3 linked regions of the Drosophila melanogaster genome follow. The protein of the gene in region 1 interacts with the protein of each later gene in a pairwise test. Each region holds a gene or a part of one and is shown in the gene's direction. Other genes may lie near its edges.

Region 1 (4,389 bases):
AGGTACGAAAAACTGGGGACGAAAAACAACGAGGACGTCCAAACAATGAGAGAAAATGCACGCTTGCGAAAATGCTGCTAAAAAAGTATGTGAAAACGCGGCGTAAGCTGAAGATTCTACTCCTGCTGGCCATCGTCGCCCTGCTGGTCATCACCATCATAGTGCTGGGCTCCAGCGGACGCAATGCGGCCATCGAACTGCTGCTGGACGAGCGATTCATCGCACGCGCCTACAGGCCCGGGGATCAGCCCCAAGTGGCGGAGAAGCCGCCGCCGGTGGCCGTCGCGCTGCTCCAGCCGCAGCGGGAGAACGGAGTGATTGTGCCCGAGAAGTATGACGAGCAGAAGATCAAGGAGCGCATCATTCAGAGCAAAATCGATCTGATGAAGCAGCAGCAGCAGCGGGACCACGAGGCGGAGCAGTCTGTAAGTTTCCAGTTCAGTCCAAGAAGGTGGCCAATCTTAGTCCTTAAATCTTAAAAATGTACACTTTGTTCAGTCGCGTACCACTTTGGATGTGGTGATCAGTGCAGTGCACATATTCTACACTGCCCCGGTGCCGTGGTACAAGTCGAAGAAGCCGCCTCCGCCGCCAGCGGAGCACCCAAACGATGTGCCACTGACCACGCCGCGACCAGTGCGAATCCTAAACACCGCCTTCTATCCGGCACTGGGTCTGTACAAGCCCAGTGGCTCGCTGCTGGCCCAGCATTTCGAGAACATACGCAGCTGTGGCATCGGTGTGCTCATCCTGAGCTTCTCCGGTGGCAAGCCCGCGGAGGCGGCACTGCTGCATCAGATCTTGGAACTGGCACCGCAGCACAATCTTAGCGTTACCTTTGAGCTCAGTGTGGCCGGGAATCAGAGCGTGGAGTTTGTGCGCCAGCAGCTGCAGGAGATTGCCACATACACCAGCCTAGCTGGATTCTACAAGGTGTGGAGTCAGTCGAGAGGTGTCTCCCTGCCGGTTCTCTACGTGAGCAATGCCTACAAGTTGAGTGATAGTCTGGGAAGGCTGTTGTGTCGATCGCCTTCGCTGGTGGAACCGGATGGTCTGCGGAGAATTCTGGATGCCTTATTCATTGGACACATAAGGTGGGGTGCGCCTTAGATTATCCTAGGTGATTCTATATATCCTTTCGTTTCTCTCCAGGCTCAAAAGCCATGCCGATGTCCTGCGGAGGTTGTGCTTCGATGGCTTCTACAGCAAACTGCCCAGCAATGGAGCTGTCTTCGCCAGCACTTGGAAGAACTGGTCGTATCTGAAGTCATTTGCGCTGTCCTACAAGATGCTCTTTGTGCCCACGGTGGGTCCGGGATTCGCGGAGAGGAACAAGTTTCCGCGACACGGAGACATCCAGCGGCATCGCAGCAATGGACGGGTGAAGGAGCAGCCATCAACTGGAGTGCCAGAACAGGCTACTAATACTAATATCATTTGATCTTGCAGTACTATGGCGTGGCCTGGCGGACAGCCATTCTCAACCACGTGGGCTTCATCAACATAGCCAGCTACAACAACTGGCCGGATGGCAGCCAGATCGAGGAGGTGATGCCACGCGCCGGCTTCCTCGACTACAATCCGGGCTCGAGAACGAAATATCTGGATCTCACGGCCCATTGGGTGGGCAACTTTCTGAAGACGCGACAGGAGGCGGCGGCAGCAGCCTCGCCAGCATCGCCGCCCAACTGTTACGAGCTGCTCAATGGAACCATATGCTAGGAGCGCACCAAGTGGGACTAGTTAGGAGCGCAGCGGAGATAATCCTAGTTACTTTAGAAGCAATAGCAACGATTGCAGGCCACTCAATTACTTTCCAACTGTTAAGAAGTCTTCTGCTGCACACATTTACACACTGCATAAATATATCGTTTTGATAGTGATATTTTTGAAAACGCGCGCCCAAATGTCGAGTTTTTTGGCGGGAAATGCAACGCACTTCATTCCAATTACATAAGTAATTTAAGTACTAAACGCCAATCAAAAAAAGAGAATTTTGAGAAGAGGTTTGAGTTGGTTTCGCTGCCAAATCACTCGACACAGAATATATATGAAAGGAAAGCAATTACAATTGATATCAATTAATAATGTAACTCTTTTTATTACATCTATAATATAAAATAGCTTTCAATTATCGTAGACTAAACGAGTAGAGGAGAACAATATCATAACTTAATGCCATGCCATATTATGTAGACACCAAAGGAAATTATCTATGTTATAACGATATAAACTAGACACTTGTTAAACGATTGGTACTTAACAAATTTTAACTTTATTACCAGTACGACATATAAATACTTTATCTAAGCTTTAATAGTTTAGTGCCCACAATATTGCTGTTTTATTTATACATATATATTTTTATATGTATAAGGGTTGCCATCCTTTCAACACTGATTTTTTTTGTTGGAGCTGTCATCAGTTCGTTTCTGGAAGAGATTAAGGCAGCAACATGCCATCGCCCAAGAAAAGAAGTGTGGATAAAGCGGATGGCAAGAAGGGCAAGGGTCAAGGAGCAGGCGGCGTGAAGGGATGCTGCTGCAAGCGGTCGCAGTGCATCAAGAACTACTGCGACTGCTATCAGTCCATGGCCATCTGCACCAAGTTCTGTCGATGCGTTGGTATGATTTCATTTCTATAAGCATAAATATACCCTACGGCACTCATATACCCTGTAATGCAGGCTGCAGGAACACAGAGGTGCGCGAGTTGGTGGACCCCAACTCCGTGGCCAAGAATTCCAGCGCTGTGAAAAGGCAGAAGGCGGCTGCGATGAGCGCCAAGGCAGCAGCCGCAGCTGCCAAGGCGGGCATCGATGTCCAGGGCAAGGCGCTCCAGGTGGCGGCATCCACTTTGGCGTTGCCCGGCAAGGCGCTAATGACGCCGCCAAAGTATACCCTAGTGGCTGGCAAACCACCGATGGCTAGTAGTCACATTAACCCCATACCCATCTCACGACCCATAGCGACTGCCGCCACTCCAGCCAGGGCAGTGAAGCAACCGGCGGAACCTCCGATGCCCGTCAATCTGATCATTCCGGTGCGGCACGACGATCGCAGGGATCGGAATCTCTTCGTGCAGCCGGTGAACGCGGCTCTGCTGGAGTGCATGCTCATCCAGGCCACGGAAGCCGAACAGTTGGGCCTGAACGAGCTCCAAGTGTGCCAGCTGGTGCTCGAAGAGTTTATGCGCGGCTACAAGAACATTTTGGAGAAAATATGCGAGTACAGCAAGGATTATTATTAACTCAAAACGTCAAAATGGCTTATTAAATAGTTTCAAGGTCAAGAATAACTTGATTCCATTTTTGGCTTATAGATACATACATATGTACATTTTATAATGCAAAATAATACAATATTCGATTTGTGTAAAACTAAATAATTGAGAAATTCAGTTTGCAAGGTCGCAAAAATTGAAACTACCAATCGGGTGGCTGGAAAATCAGCTCGGTGACAAGCATATCGCAGCTGGTTTTCCTTTGGGACAAACGGGAGGCAGTCGGCGTGGTCTTGTGCCTGTCCAGCGGCAGCTCACTGTCACTGTCGCTCTCCGACTCGTGCTCCTCATGGGACTCGACTTCGCCCTCCTCCATACGTCGTCGCTTGCTTCTGCTCGCTCTGGGAGCTTTCGCCGATGATCGAAACTGCCGCCAAAATTGCGCGGGCTGGGCGAACTCAATGTAGTTGGGGAATCTCATGGCCATCGCTCGGCAAAAGGATTCAAAGTTGTGACTAAGCTCGGGACTCATGACGGGCACTATGTTGCGATGGGTTTCTTCCACAAAGCGAAGACAGCGTTCCAGTTGCTTGAGCTGCAAAGGAATTTGAACATTTAGCTCAAGGGGGAAAAGTTAATCAGTTAGATTTACATACTGGCTCCTCGGACATGTCCGCCTTTCGCCCTCTTCCTCTGCTTGTTGCCTCGCCTGCTTCTGGTCTAGTTGGTGGAGTTGCTGGCTCCGATGACGCATCTTCACCTTCATCGATATTGTCGCCCTCGCCACGAGAGTTCTTCTCTTTACCCATTCCCTTGGTGCAATAGCAAATGCGGCGCATGATGAAGAGCATATCCTGAACCACAATCAGGGCGTCGGGATTGTTGATGAATGCTTGGTCTCTGGTCTTTTCTACAAGAAGTATATATATCTTAGCATATCTACTTGAAGTATGTATAAAACAACTTTACTCACCTGCCAGCAGTTTTAGTTGGCCGAAGTAAAGCAACAGCACGTTCTCGTCCATCGAGGACATTATGTGATTGTAGAGCAACCTACGTTTCTTGGCCATTTGTGAACCCTTCAGAGGTGACTTGTAGTTGCCATTCGTTCTCACGCCCCTCAAAATAGCCTGGTCATTCAGATCGAAGGGGCACTCCTTCAGGCAG
Region 2 (5,759 bases), on another chromosome or scaffold:
GCTTTCAATTAATGCGACAAATGTGTGAGTATATGGCATAAATATAAAGAAGCTTTGTTCCTTTTTGCAAGTCTGCTTTTTGTTTTTGTTGGCCAATACGTGACTTTACCCAGAAAGTCATTGACTTTCACAGACTCCCCCGAGTGGCTTTGTTATGTCCGCTCTAAAATCGTGCTTTAAAGACCGAACTCTCGAATCAATTAATGCGCTCCATGGCCATGAAAGTGGCGAGTGGCGATAAGCCAGCTCCAACCCATGTGGCCCCCCAACTGGGAGCTGGCGATACAAACTGCTTCAATTTTAATGTCCTCAAACTGTCATAAACTGTAAATGCACAGTAAAAGCCATGAGTATAAGGCGGGCAAGCTGCGACAGATTCTGTCGTGTAGATGGCCAAGAAGCTAAAGCTGTCAGCTCAAGAGTTTAAGTTCGACAAGCTGGTGAAACTATTGTATCTTACACTGAAGTCCGATTTTCACTTAAATATTATATGTACTTCGTTTATTTAAACCTAATATAAAAGTGGGAAATTAATTGCCCCACTAAGTGTTAATCCTTTTCATACTAACGCTGTATACCTTTTGACACCTTCATGGTTGACTTCTGATTCACATACGCCCATTTAAAACACCCCTCACTCTTTGAACTCGATTTTTTAGGTTCACTGAGCAAACCTTTTTTTTTAACACGCTTGCGTGTGCCGTTCAACATTTAGCCAGTTTTTTGGGCCAGTGCAAAGACGACCCGCAGGCTGAAAGCCAACATTCGCTATACAGGGTACAATATAGCCGCATGAGAATACCCATTCATATGTATATGTATGTATGTATGAATGAAGTCGTGCACATGAGTAACCCGTTGGCACGACCTATCATCGCCCATTCCGCTGGCTAAGGCCTCCTGGCTGGGCGATGGGCGGTGGGTGGTAGGTGGGCGTGGCACGTGTCGCCTGCAGCTTTCATTAGTTCAATGTCAATGTTTTGTTTTGTGATCCTGGAACACAAAAACTGAAGAACATGGGAACCATCCAGCTGTCTGCCTTGGGTTTTTAATTTTAAGCGCATGTTGCTGGCCTCCAGCCAGCCACCTGCATCACCTTTGCCTGTCTGCTGATTAAGTGAGTACAAGCTGCAGGTGTCCTGCATTAGGACATCCCGCTGCTCCTTCGAGGCGAAAGGAATGCAAATTAAAACTGGTATCTCTTCCTTCTGTCACCGATTCTGCGGAAGCTCTGTGTGCACAGCAAATTGAATGAGGTGCACAGACGGCAATCGATATCTCGATGGAGGAAGTAATCTTTAAGTTCCTTTAAGTCTGAATATCTGGATATCCAATTTCCTTTTTCCCAGAAAACGACCGCAACACATGTCGAAAGTTTGCGGGCACAAACCATTGGCATACACTGAGGTGTATTTATAATTTAATTTAATTTAATTTAGAATTCCGTTTTATATAATTAAATATGGAATTTGGATGTTAAAACAAGTGTGTGTTTCAGCGTTTCTAACTAAATACTCTCGGAATTTCATTAGCAATTCTCTTGTCTTTGTACCCTTTTTTTTTGCAGTGCACAGGCGTACTTACCACATCACAGACATGGAAATTAGGCCAAAAGTGCGCAGGCAATAATGCTGAAATCCATTTACGTAATTCGAAATCCGCTGGCGGCGTTTTAGCCACGACAACAGTCGTATGCAAACTTTATTAATTACGCGCCCCGATGACCATTACCACCATATCGACCATCTACTATTGACCATGAAGCCATTCTTGCAGTCCGGCGAAACTTTGGCTGTTTACTATTTTGCTAGGCTGAGTTTCGGCCACCCATTGTTGTGTTGCGCAATTGGCACCAGCTATGAAAATCACGCAAAAGTTTTTCAAATTAAAAATTCAACAGATTTCACTCGGAAAATCAACAACCCTGGAAAGCGGCATATAACAAAAAACAAAATCAATGAATTAAAAAAAAAAAATTACATAATTCGATTGAGCCTGCTGTTCATAAAAAATATTGATACTGTTTATTAAAATCCATGTAAGACTTTAGTTGTTTTAATTTAATTTATCAGAACTGTTACTTTAATAATGACTTTAGTTAGTACCTTAGAAAATATGGCAACCCTTGACAGAATTGAAATATGTTGGCAACCCAAGTTTGGAGGCCATATGTCAAATGGCGTGAGACTTTTAACAAAAAAAACATTTGGTTCAGAAAAACTTCGCTTAAATTACTAAAGAAAAACTTAGTAGACCATTTCAGCATGTCAGTTGATCCACTATCAATCGATAATTTCACAATCCAATCTGAGATCTGCGAAGAAAACGAGTTTCTGGCAAATATAGGATTACTATCTACGACAACGTAATATTTTCTCCTTTTCTATCAAATATTAAAATAGAACTATAACTGTGCTACCATCCGTAGAATGTCGCGTCATCAATTGAAGAAACCCAGAAAGATGGTGGCGGCATGGCAAAACGATGAATTATTTATTAAACGCCCAAATTTCGCCCCGCGTATTAGGATTTCCGAAAAGCCAGAGATCCAGGGAAGAATTAAACCAGGCGTGGCGTCCAAAAGGACTGAGAACTTTACAAAGAAGCCGTCCAATATATCTGTAGATGTTTCGGAGGACGAGAAAGCGAAGGAAAAGGAAAAGGAGCAGGATCCCTACTCCAATGACTTTATACTTGGCAAGAGGTTCGTAATGGGAAAGATTCCCTAGAGATCCCTTTAAGTGCTTAATTGTTCATTCTCCTTTAGATTGTACAATTTCCTGAAGTATCTCAGCTCTCACCGTTGGATTTGGTGTGAGTTCGTCGACTCCTTCCTGGACAAGCCGACCCTGACCATGGGCTACGATATGAAGCGCTTCATAGCGGAGTACTGTCCGCTCCTGCACTCTTGCTTCATGCCCCGCAGAGGATGGCAATTGGTACGTCGGAATATGGGGAAGGCGCGTCGATTTTCGGCCGCCTTCATCGAGCTGGAACGCGAAGAATTGGAGTGCCAGCGCCGCATTGTGCGCCAGTTGCAGCAGCATAAGTTCAATCCCAAGGAGAACGTGGGCTACTTGGACCAGATACCCAAGCGTGTGCCCCTGCCACTGGCCAAGGATGCCACGGTCAGCAGTTTTCTGCACGGAAACTCCTTTGAGGGCATCGTCAATGGCACTGTCATGGGCTACGATCCGCAGGACTACACCTATCTGGTTCGATTCAATAGAAACGACAATGCAGTCGTGCTCAGTCTTCCGGATTCACAGCTCTATTCCGACGAGGAAACCGCGGCGGTTCCCTTGTCAATTATTATGCGCGGCAACAAATCGTCCTCGGTTATTTCGGAGAGCGCCAAGACCGAGAAGTTCGGAAACAAGAGGTACACCAAGGAACTTCTGGAATCAGTGCTAAGGGTTGGTAAACTACAGGATGTCAAGCACAAGATCCTCATGGACTTGGCCCGAATGAATGAGGATTTCGAGACATTCAAGGAGATTGGTTCTTCAAGTAGTCGTCGCGATGCCAAGGTCACACCTCAGCGTGAGAATCTCCAGCGTCGCTATTCGGCCAGCATGATAACGCTGCACCGAGTGAACGCTGATATCCTTGAACCGCTGCGCATCCTGCACGACTACCTGGTCGAGTATCAGAAGCAGGACGAGGAGGAGGAGTCCAAAAGAGGTCGTCCCGCCAGCGAAGTCTATCAGAAGTGTCGCATGCAGGCGGAACAGGACCTCAAGACTGCCGCGGATGAGAAATTCCTGAAGATAGAATCGGATCGCACGCAGGAGTTCGTCCGCAACCTTCACACCATACTGTATCTCAATGGAAAGCTGGGGCGCGAGAACAGCTCCAATTTGGAGACGATTATCGCTGATCTGGTTACCCACATGGTGGACAACATCCAGCCATCGCTGGGCCGGAAATTAAAAGATGGCGTCGATTCCCTGGAGCCTCTGCGTCAGCAGGTGGTGCAAATATTTAAAGACGTCAAAAAACCAGAGCGCTTCCAAATCACCCAGCAGGCTCCGATGCAAACCGAGGATGGTATCTACAACTTTGTGGTCGAGGCACAGCCGGATACTCCCAGCTAAACACACTACCTACTGGCCCTTTGGAATACTGAAATAAAGCCTCGCTCTTATTTATGGCTCAATTAGGAGGAGTGTCATGTGCATTGGGAGTTTGCCGGCAGAGGAGCTTAACGAAGTTTCTTGTGGCTGCTACCTTGTAGAGCTCTTTTGGTACTTACGCGAAGGGGTAGTTGGGGGGGGGGGGTACGTGGTTCTAGGATTTATTTCAAGTTTCCAGTGGCACGTTCCACAGGAAGTCAGCCGTAAAACAGTTGACAGATTGGCAACCAAATAAGTAATGCGTATGTGAACGAAAACTTTAAGGGGGCACTCAAAAAAGGATAATCACTGGGGAATGTTTGCTTTTTCTAAAGGGCCTGTAAATGTGTTACAACTTTGATGATAGAAAGTGTAGTTTATTAAATACTTAAAAATGATTAAGAAAAACTCTTACTATAACTCTCTAAGTACTAATAAACCCTGCAAAAAGGAGGTATGGAAATTTTCTCTTTTTTTGAGGCTAAATTTTGTGCAGCAATGTTGCATCCCCACATAAATCAGCATTTACGAGTAAAGTGTTTTCTATTTTTTAATTACTAGATGGATGCACTACGCTCGTAAATTGTGCGGGTGAGCCAGTTCCGCCGGGGAATTTGCCAACGCCCATGTGGCCGCCATAAAGACATCATTAATATGCCTCCGGATGCACTGCGTCGCTCTGTCCCCCGGGAGGAGAAACGATCGGCAAAGGAGCTGATGGCGTGTGTCCTGCGGGAATGGACTCTGGCCATTTTGCTCCCCCGGATGTGTCGTCGTCATCGACTAAGATGTGCGTATCCTCCACGGAATCCACCCGAGCGGGCGGCTCGTAAATATTTATAATACGTTGAAGCTGCAGGGGCGGCGAATCCGGCTATAAATTTATCGAGTGCAACATTTTTTCCACTATATGTTACAACTGTGGTAAAGACTCTGGTTGAGGATGCATTCAAAATTAAATGTTTTATTCGTATTCCTGATTAGAATGACCAGTCAAGTCAATGTGATAGTAATTTTTTTTCGCAGTGCCTTGCAGTACTTGTGCTCACAAGAATATGGCTGTAATGAAATATATATTTAGGCATTAACTTGATTAATGTATTTATTTTGAACGTTTCAATAGCCTCGCAAACTTGAAGAACACTTGAAGAACAAAAAAATCGACAGACGTGGTAGTTTGACATCAAGGATCCCCCAGCCAGGATAAACAAACGTAACAAATGGCAGCAAATAAATGTGGGCAGGCCAAGTTTATACGGTCAAGTATCCGCGTGGACCAACTCGTGTTGTGAAAGTTGTGAATGTTGGTTGGCTACTCGTGCTAAATGTAATTCAATACACCGCCTTACATAATGCATTCGAGATGACTAAAGTTTTTTTTATTCCGTTGACACTTGATCATTAATTATATTTGCGCGTGGCGGGGCATCGTTTATATGAAATTGAATCAATACATAACAGCTTAAGTGGCAACACATATATAATCGCATATCCACATGCCAGCAAAGCAATCGCCTAAGACTGGCAACCTAATTGATTAACGACTCTGCAAGGCTGCGGATGTGCGGATGTGGGCGCGGATGTGGGTTGGATTAATCCAAATACCAAGGAAACTTTCGCCACAAGCCGCTCAATTTGCTTTAT
Region 3 (5,397 bases), on another chromosome or scaffold:
TTAAATTTATTAATATAATAAATATATACAATTTTTAAGAGTATAAGATTTTATGAGCATTGCCTGCACATTTCAAAATCCCATATTCCAAGAAATCCCTTGCTTAATGAACTAAATTGTAAACTCTTTCAATATGTTTAATTGTGGCATTTCTCAAGAAAACGATACGATCATTAATATGCATTGTGTTTTGAAAAATGATTTTTCTGCATGCTATATGGCAAAGTGATATTTTAGCCGCTAATTGTCAAAGTCCACCAAACTTTGGCCCTTAATATGCAGTTCGTAAAATTATGAAATATATTCATTTATTTTAATTAGCTTAACCTCAAGGCGAAGAAAGCGAAGAGCAGAGAGAAATAAGTTCAATGAGACCCCAAGGTTTGCCTTCTGGCAAGTGAAATGATTGATGGATTGGAGCTCCATTGTCTTCACATGAGTCACTAAACCACGAGAATCTTATAGAGCGTATCACTTGCTGCAGTGACTCACTCTAGAATAAGGAAATATAATCGAAACTGGAATCGGGATCGTAAAAATGCAATTCAGATAGCGAAAGGGCGGAAAACAGCTGGAAAAATTCGGGGCTAGAAGGTCGTGCTCAGTCGTCTTCATCTTTAATTGCTTGGAAAACAATAGTCTAAAAGGAAAACCGATGGAGTAGCGCCCCATAAACCATAAAAATGCATAATCTACGACCACTTGACACGCATTAAACAAAAACAAAACAACACTACGGCGGCGGCATTCCTACTTTTATGTTTTATAACGTTTTCAACATTTTATAAAATATTTTTTAGACGAACGAGATGGGAGATCTCCATATATAGTTGAACAATAGTTGTCCCCAGATAAGGAGTAAATAAAGACCTCTAGCTCTCTACCCGTAAAATTAAACTGAAACCGAAACTTATGTAGTGCTTTTTATGAATTCATATAGGGCTTCCGTCACACGACTAAATCAGATCGTAAAAAATGTACAACAAAAGAAACTTTTTCGTTCCGCCAAAAGAAAGAGCAACAAAAAATAGGAAGCAATGAAAAAATTGAAAGGGGTTTCATTGTCAAAATCACGTGCGTGCTGGTATACTATTTTTTTCCAACTGGACTTGTAAATTTATTCGTCATATACAGCCGTTGTTCTTGTTATGCAGCTTTTCATGGGCTGCCCTATGATTTTCGCTCGGAAATTACAACTTTGTCATCAAATTCGGACTGTAAACATTACAACTAGTGTAATAAAAGAACAATAAAATTGGCGGAAATATTCGCCAAAGAAATTGAGCAATGAAATGCATAATTATATTCACTAGACGAACTATTCACATCAGTAATTTACCAATAACTAAAGAAGCTATAAAGAGCAGGGTATTATAATATTCAATAGATTCAAGCAGCTGACGACATTTTTTTAATTTACTCCTGGTGACACGTGAGATTATTGCATAAAATTCTTGTCAGTCCGATTTTTTTCGCCTGTGCCAAAAACTCAGCAGTTTGTTCATCCAAATATCGTGCATCAGTCAGAATAATTGGGGGGGTGTTCGCCATGGATGATTCGTGATTAAAGGATGTGTATTAAATATTCATATGAATGTCAATTTAAAGCTATCTCTTTCGGCACAGTGTCACCCTCTCTTTCTCATTGACTGGTTATAGACCAGTTGAGTGCCAGTGTTGGCGGCTTTTTGTTGTCTCGGCTTTGGTCTGCATTATTGTTGATATAGCCCATGAATCCCCAATTGAAAGGCTTCCCTTACTTTCCTTTTTGAACTTTGCCGCCCTTGGAAACAAATGGGAGGGTTAAAACTGGGGGTTTTGGGGTTATAAATAACAATAGATTTATTGCAAACAAAACATGAAGTGCATTCAAATAAAATGAAAGGAGCTTTGTTTGGTTTTCGCCTGTCTACTCTTTCACTAAAGCTAAATTGTGTAACTTTAATTTATCAATAAGAATTTTTGGCAGCAGAATAATAATAGTGGAATGCAAGGCTTATTTAACATGTAAAAAAAAGAAGTTTTGAACATTAAGTGTGACTGCTTAAAGTACACCGATGAGAGTGTGTTTTCTTAAAAATCATCGATAGAAACTGTAAAGGATAACAGAAAAACTTAGCAACACTTTTTCCGAATGGAAAACAACAGCAGGGCAACCCTTAAAGTGGGCCAACATTTCGTTTGTCAGTCCTCATATTTTTCCGGCTTGCTCGTTTGCCCGAATATTTGTTTGAGAACTAAAAAGTCATCGAAGTTTGTAAATACAAAAGGATAATGTCGGGGAACCAAGACACTTTGGGCCAGTCACAGCAGGTCAATGAAAGTGGTGATGAATATGAAGAAGACGCAGCAACAAGTTGGACAAATGAGTTGGAACAGCAGGAGTCCAGGACGCCAGCGGATAGCCCCGAGTTTCTGGATTTTGTGGACTCCGAGGATCCGCTGGAAGATTTCGAAAGAAATCCTTTGCAGAAGGAGCCCCTCGATCTGGCAGTTAAACCTGTTTCCGACATCAATAAGAAGGCAGCGGAGAATCACAGGCGGATTTACCGACAATTGGGTATCCATATCCCGGAAACGCCAAAAAGCCATCCTCTACTCCATTATGCATTCGTCGTGAAACTGTTCCTGGCCACCGATAATAGCTCCATTCACTACCTCAAGTGGTCGGCAAATGGCCGCGAACTGGAGGTCGATTACCAGGGTATGCAGGAGCATTTGTCCAGCGGGTGTTCCATGTTTCATTGTCGAAATACATTGCAATTTACGGGCACTCTATTGGCCCACGGATTCGAACGCGTTTCATTGAAGGATGTGCGTAAATCCTCAGCCACCAACATCACGCTGATCTATCGGAATCCAAATTTCGTTAAGGGTCAGTTACTCAAATTGCATAAACTGGCTCAGGAATGTGAGAAAATACCTGAAATTTCAAGCCCGGGAACGGCGGAGCCGCGACGACCACCTCTGCACCTCCCGAACTATGCCCATATTTCCAGGATGGTACGGCGAGGAGATCTCTGCTCCACTCCCTACACATCCCGTTCTGCTCTGCAAGTGGCTCGATGTCATTTCCAAACTCTGCTAGGATATCAAGCCGATCTGGGTGTCCTTAAGGATCGCAACAATCACGATATGTTCAACAAGAACATTATGACGCAACTGAATGTGAAGAGGGGGCGTTCGTCTATCAATAACGCCCCCGTAGACTTAGCGCCCAGTAAAGTTTCCTTTGAGAAATTCGTAAAGCCGCACGAATCTGTGATTAATATCGGAATTGGCCAAGCTCCCGATTATGCCGGTTATTATGGCCAGGTCGAGCTATTCAAAGTCAACGAGTTCTTCTCCGAATATCTGCCGCGCTATGGTAGCAAAATCACCGGCTACAAGGAAATAGTTATGGATGCCACCAATAAGTCCATTGGTTTCCAGCAGAATCTGCCAATCGGCATGAATTACTCGGATGATGAAGACGATGCCCTGCCACCGATTTCATCGGACCTCGACTTGGACTTCATGCCATCCACCTCAGCGGCGGCGAAGATGAAATCTACAGGTCGCAAGGTAGTGGAGGACTCGGACTTGGAGCAGGCTATGCAGGAATTGTGCGGCGGTTCTAATCTTAACGAAGAGGAGGAACTTCCACAGACCAGCACCAGGTTTAAAGCAAAGCCCAAACCAAGAGCCAAAACCAAAGCCAAACCCACGAAACGCCAAGCTAAACCCGTACATTCCAGTTCCAGCGAATGCGAAGATTTCAAGCCAGACGAAGTGTATGAAGGTTTTAAGTCTAGAAACCCAAAGAACGTTAAGTTAAAGCCTAGTGACGAAAATATCTCCTATACTCTTGAAGAAGGAACTGATTTCGAGGAGCAAGTCATAGAAGAAACGACCGAAACCAAGGTGCAGGATTCGCAATACGATGACCTGGATGATGACGACGACGACGAGGAAGAGGATTACTTCGACGAGGATGACGAGGATTATGTTTACAAAAATTTGCAGTACAGGAACCCTCCTGAACCGCCAAAAAGCCGACGCTATGATCTACGCAACTCCAAGCGAAATCCTCGTTGAGTCTGCCACTCATTGGAATTGTATGGTATATCTAAGGCAACTAGGAGTTATTATTTGTTAAATCAAATACTTGACTGTGTGGATTTGTGCACCAAACAATTAAACGTTATTTAGTAACTTTAAAGAGGATTTTATTTAAAACTTACGGTACGCATCTTCGGACCATTCACCTCTGCCATATCTTTTGTTTATTCAACTTTAGGCCCATTCCTTTAACCATCTTCCATTGGGCATATCTAAACCTTTCATTATAGCTTTTGTTGGTCTTCTTCGAAGGCAATAAGTTTGGACATATGGGCAATTAAATCGCTTATCGCTCTTTGATCTCTCACGCCCTCAGTGCCCCATTACCGAGGCCAATCAAAAGTGTAATATCATCTGGAAATATCTTACCAATTCGAACCGAGGGCCAGCACCCACACGAACTCACAAAAACCGAAAACGTATAACCAGAAAATAAAGGAAAAAACCAGACAGGGGCACAATCAGTCGGATGTTTACAAGTTTTATGAGCCACCAAATAACAAGATGAACAACAGGCAACCGAAAACGAAACCAAAACCAAAACCAGAACCAAAGCGAAACTTAAACGATACTTGATTTCGAAGGGATTTCGGATTTGTGGTGTACCTCGCACCGCATTTGCAAGAGGCGCAAAAAATAAGCGCTTTTTTTTTATATATATAACTCAGCGTGAGCCGAGACACGATTTTTATCGTCTTTAATTTGCTTTTTATTTGATATCATATTTCAAGACAGCCGGACGGATCAAATCGGTTTGGTCCCACTCGCAGAACTCTGGAGCGTTGAAAACAAAAGCCGGTATCCTCTTATTTGCCGGCTCCGCTCCTCCGAAAAATCCCAAAACAGATTTTTCGGTTGGCAAAAGAGGAGAAACCTTGAGTCAAGACGTCATAATGTCATAAAAATGTCACATACTTTTAATAACTTTATGACAGCTACAAAATCATAAACAAAATGCTCTGACAGCAGCACACGAACTGCGAGAAGGCGAGGGATTCTGCGGTTGAGTTCTTTTGGGAGTCCTCATAATGAGATGTGTCATGTTTTGCCTTCTGAGAAATGTTTCTGCTTCTCCATTTCGGTGGCTTTTGCCATGATTGCCCATCGAGGAGCCGAGTGGACCAGGCTGCCATACTCCCATCCCTTCCCCCAAGAGTCACAATTATAAACATGACAGGCTGATTATTAAATTTGATGTTTAAATGATGATCTAAACAGCAGGGATATTCGATAGTAGGGGGTGTGTGTAGCGTGTGCCTAGGAAAATACATCCATAAAGTTGGTTCGTGGCAAATA

Evidence for each region. Proteins that work in one complex are often made in the same cells at the same time.
Region 2: the proteins of tomb (region 1) and aly interact in a two-hybrid assay, tested with the Drosophila melanogaster proteins (one study listed by BioGRID).
Region 3: the proteins of tomb (region 1) and comr interact in a two-hybrid assay, tested with the Drosophila melanogaster proteins (one study listed by BioGRID).

Annotation. Positions count from the first base shown.
Region 1 is NT_033779.5:5,534,793-5,539,181, reverse strand, and holds tomb (tombola), read left to right. Parts: upstream 1-2,423; 5' UTR 2,424-2,455; coding exon 2,456-2,624; intron 2,625-2,686; coding exon 2,687-3,249; 3' UTR 3,250-3,321; downstream 3,322-4,389. Other genes in the region: CG14015 (uncharacterized protein), read left to right, coding at 72-425, 499-1,094, 1,153-1,381, 1,450-1,722; Cap-D3 (chromosome associated protein D3), read right to left, coding at 3,425-3,817, 3,879-4,132, 4,196-4,389.
Region 2 is NT_037436.4:3,022,930-3,028,688, reverse strand, and holds aly (always early), read left to right. Parts: upstream 1-2,167; 5' UTR 2,168-2,264; coding exon 2,265-2,365; intron 2,366-2,428; coding exon 2,429-2,704; intron 2,705-2,767; coding exon 2,768-4,097; 3' UTR 4,098-4,560; downstream 4,561-5,759.
Region 3 is NT_033778.4:21,863,671-21,869,067, reverse strand, and holds comr (cookie monster), read left to right. Parts: upstream 1-2,208; 5' UTR 2,209-2,274; coding exon 2,275-4,077; 3' UTR 4,078-4,198; downstream 4,199-5,397.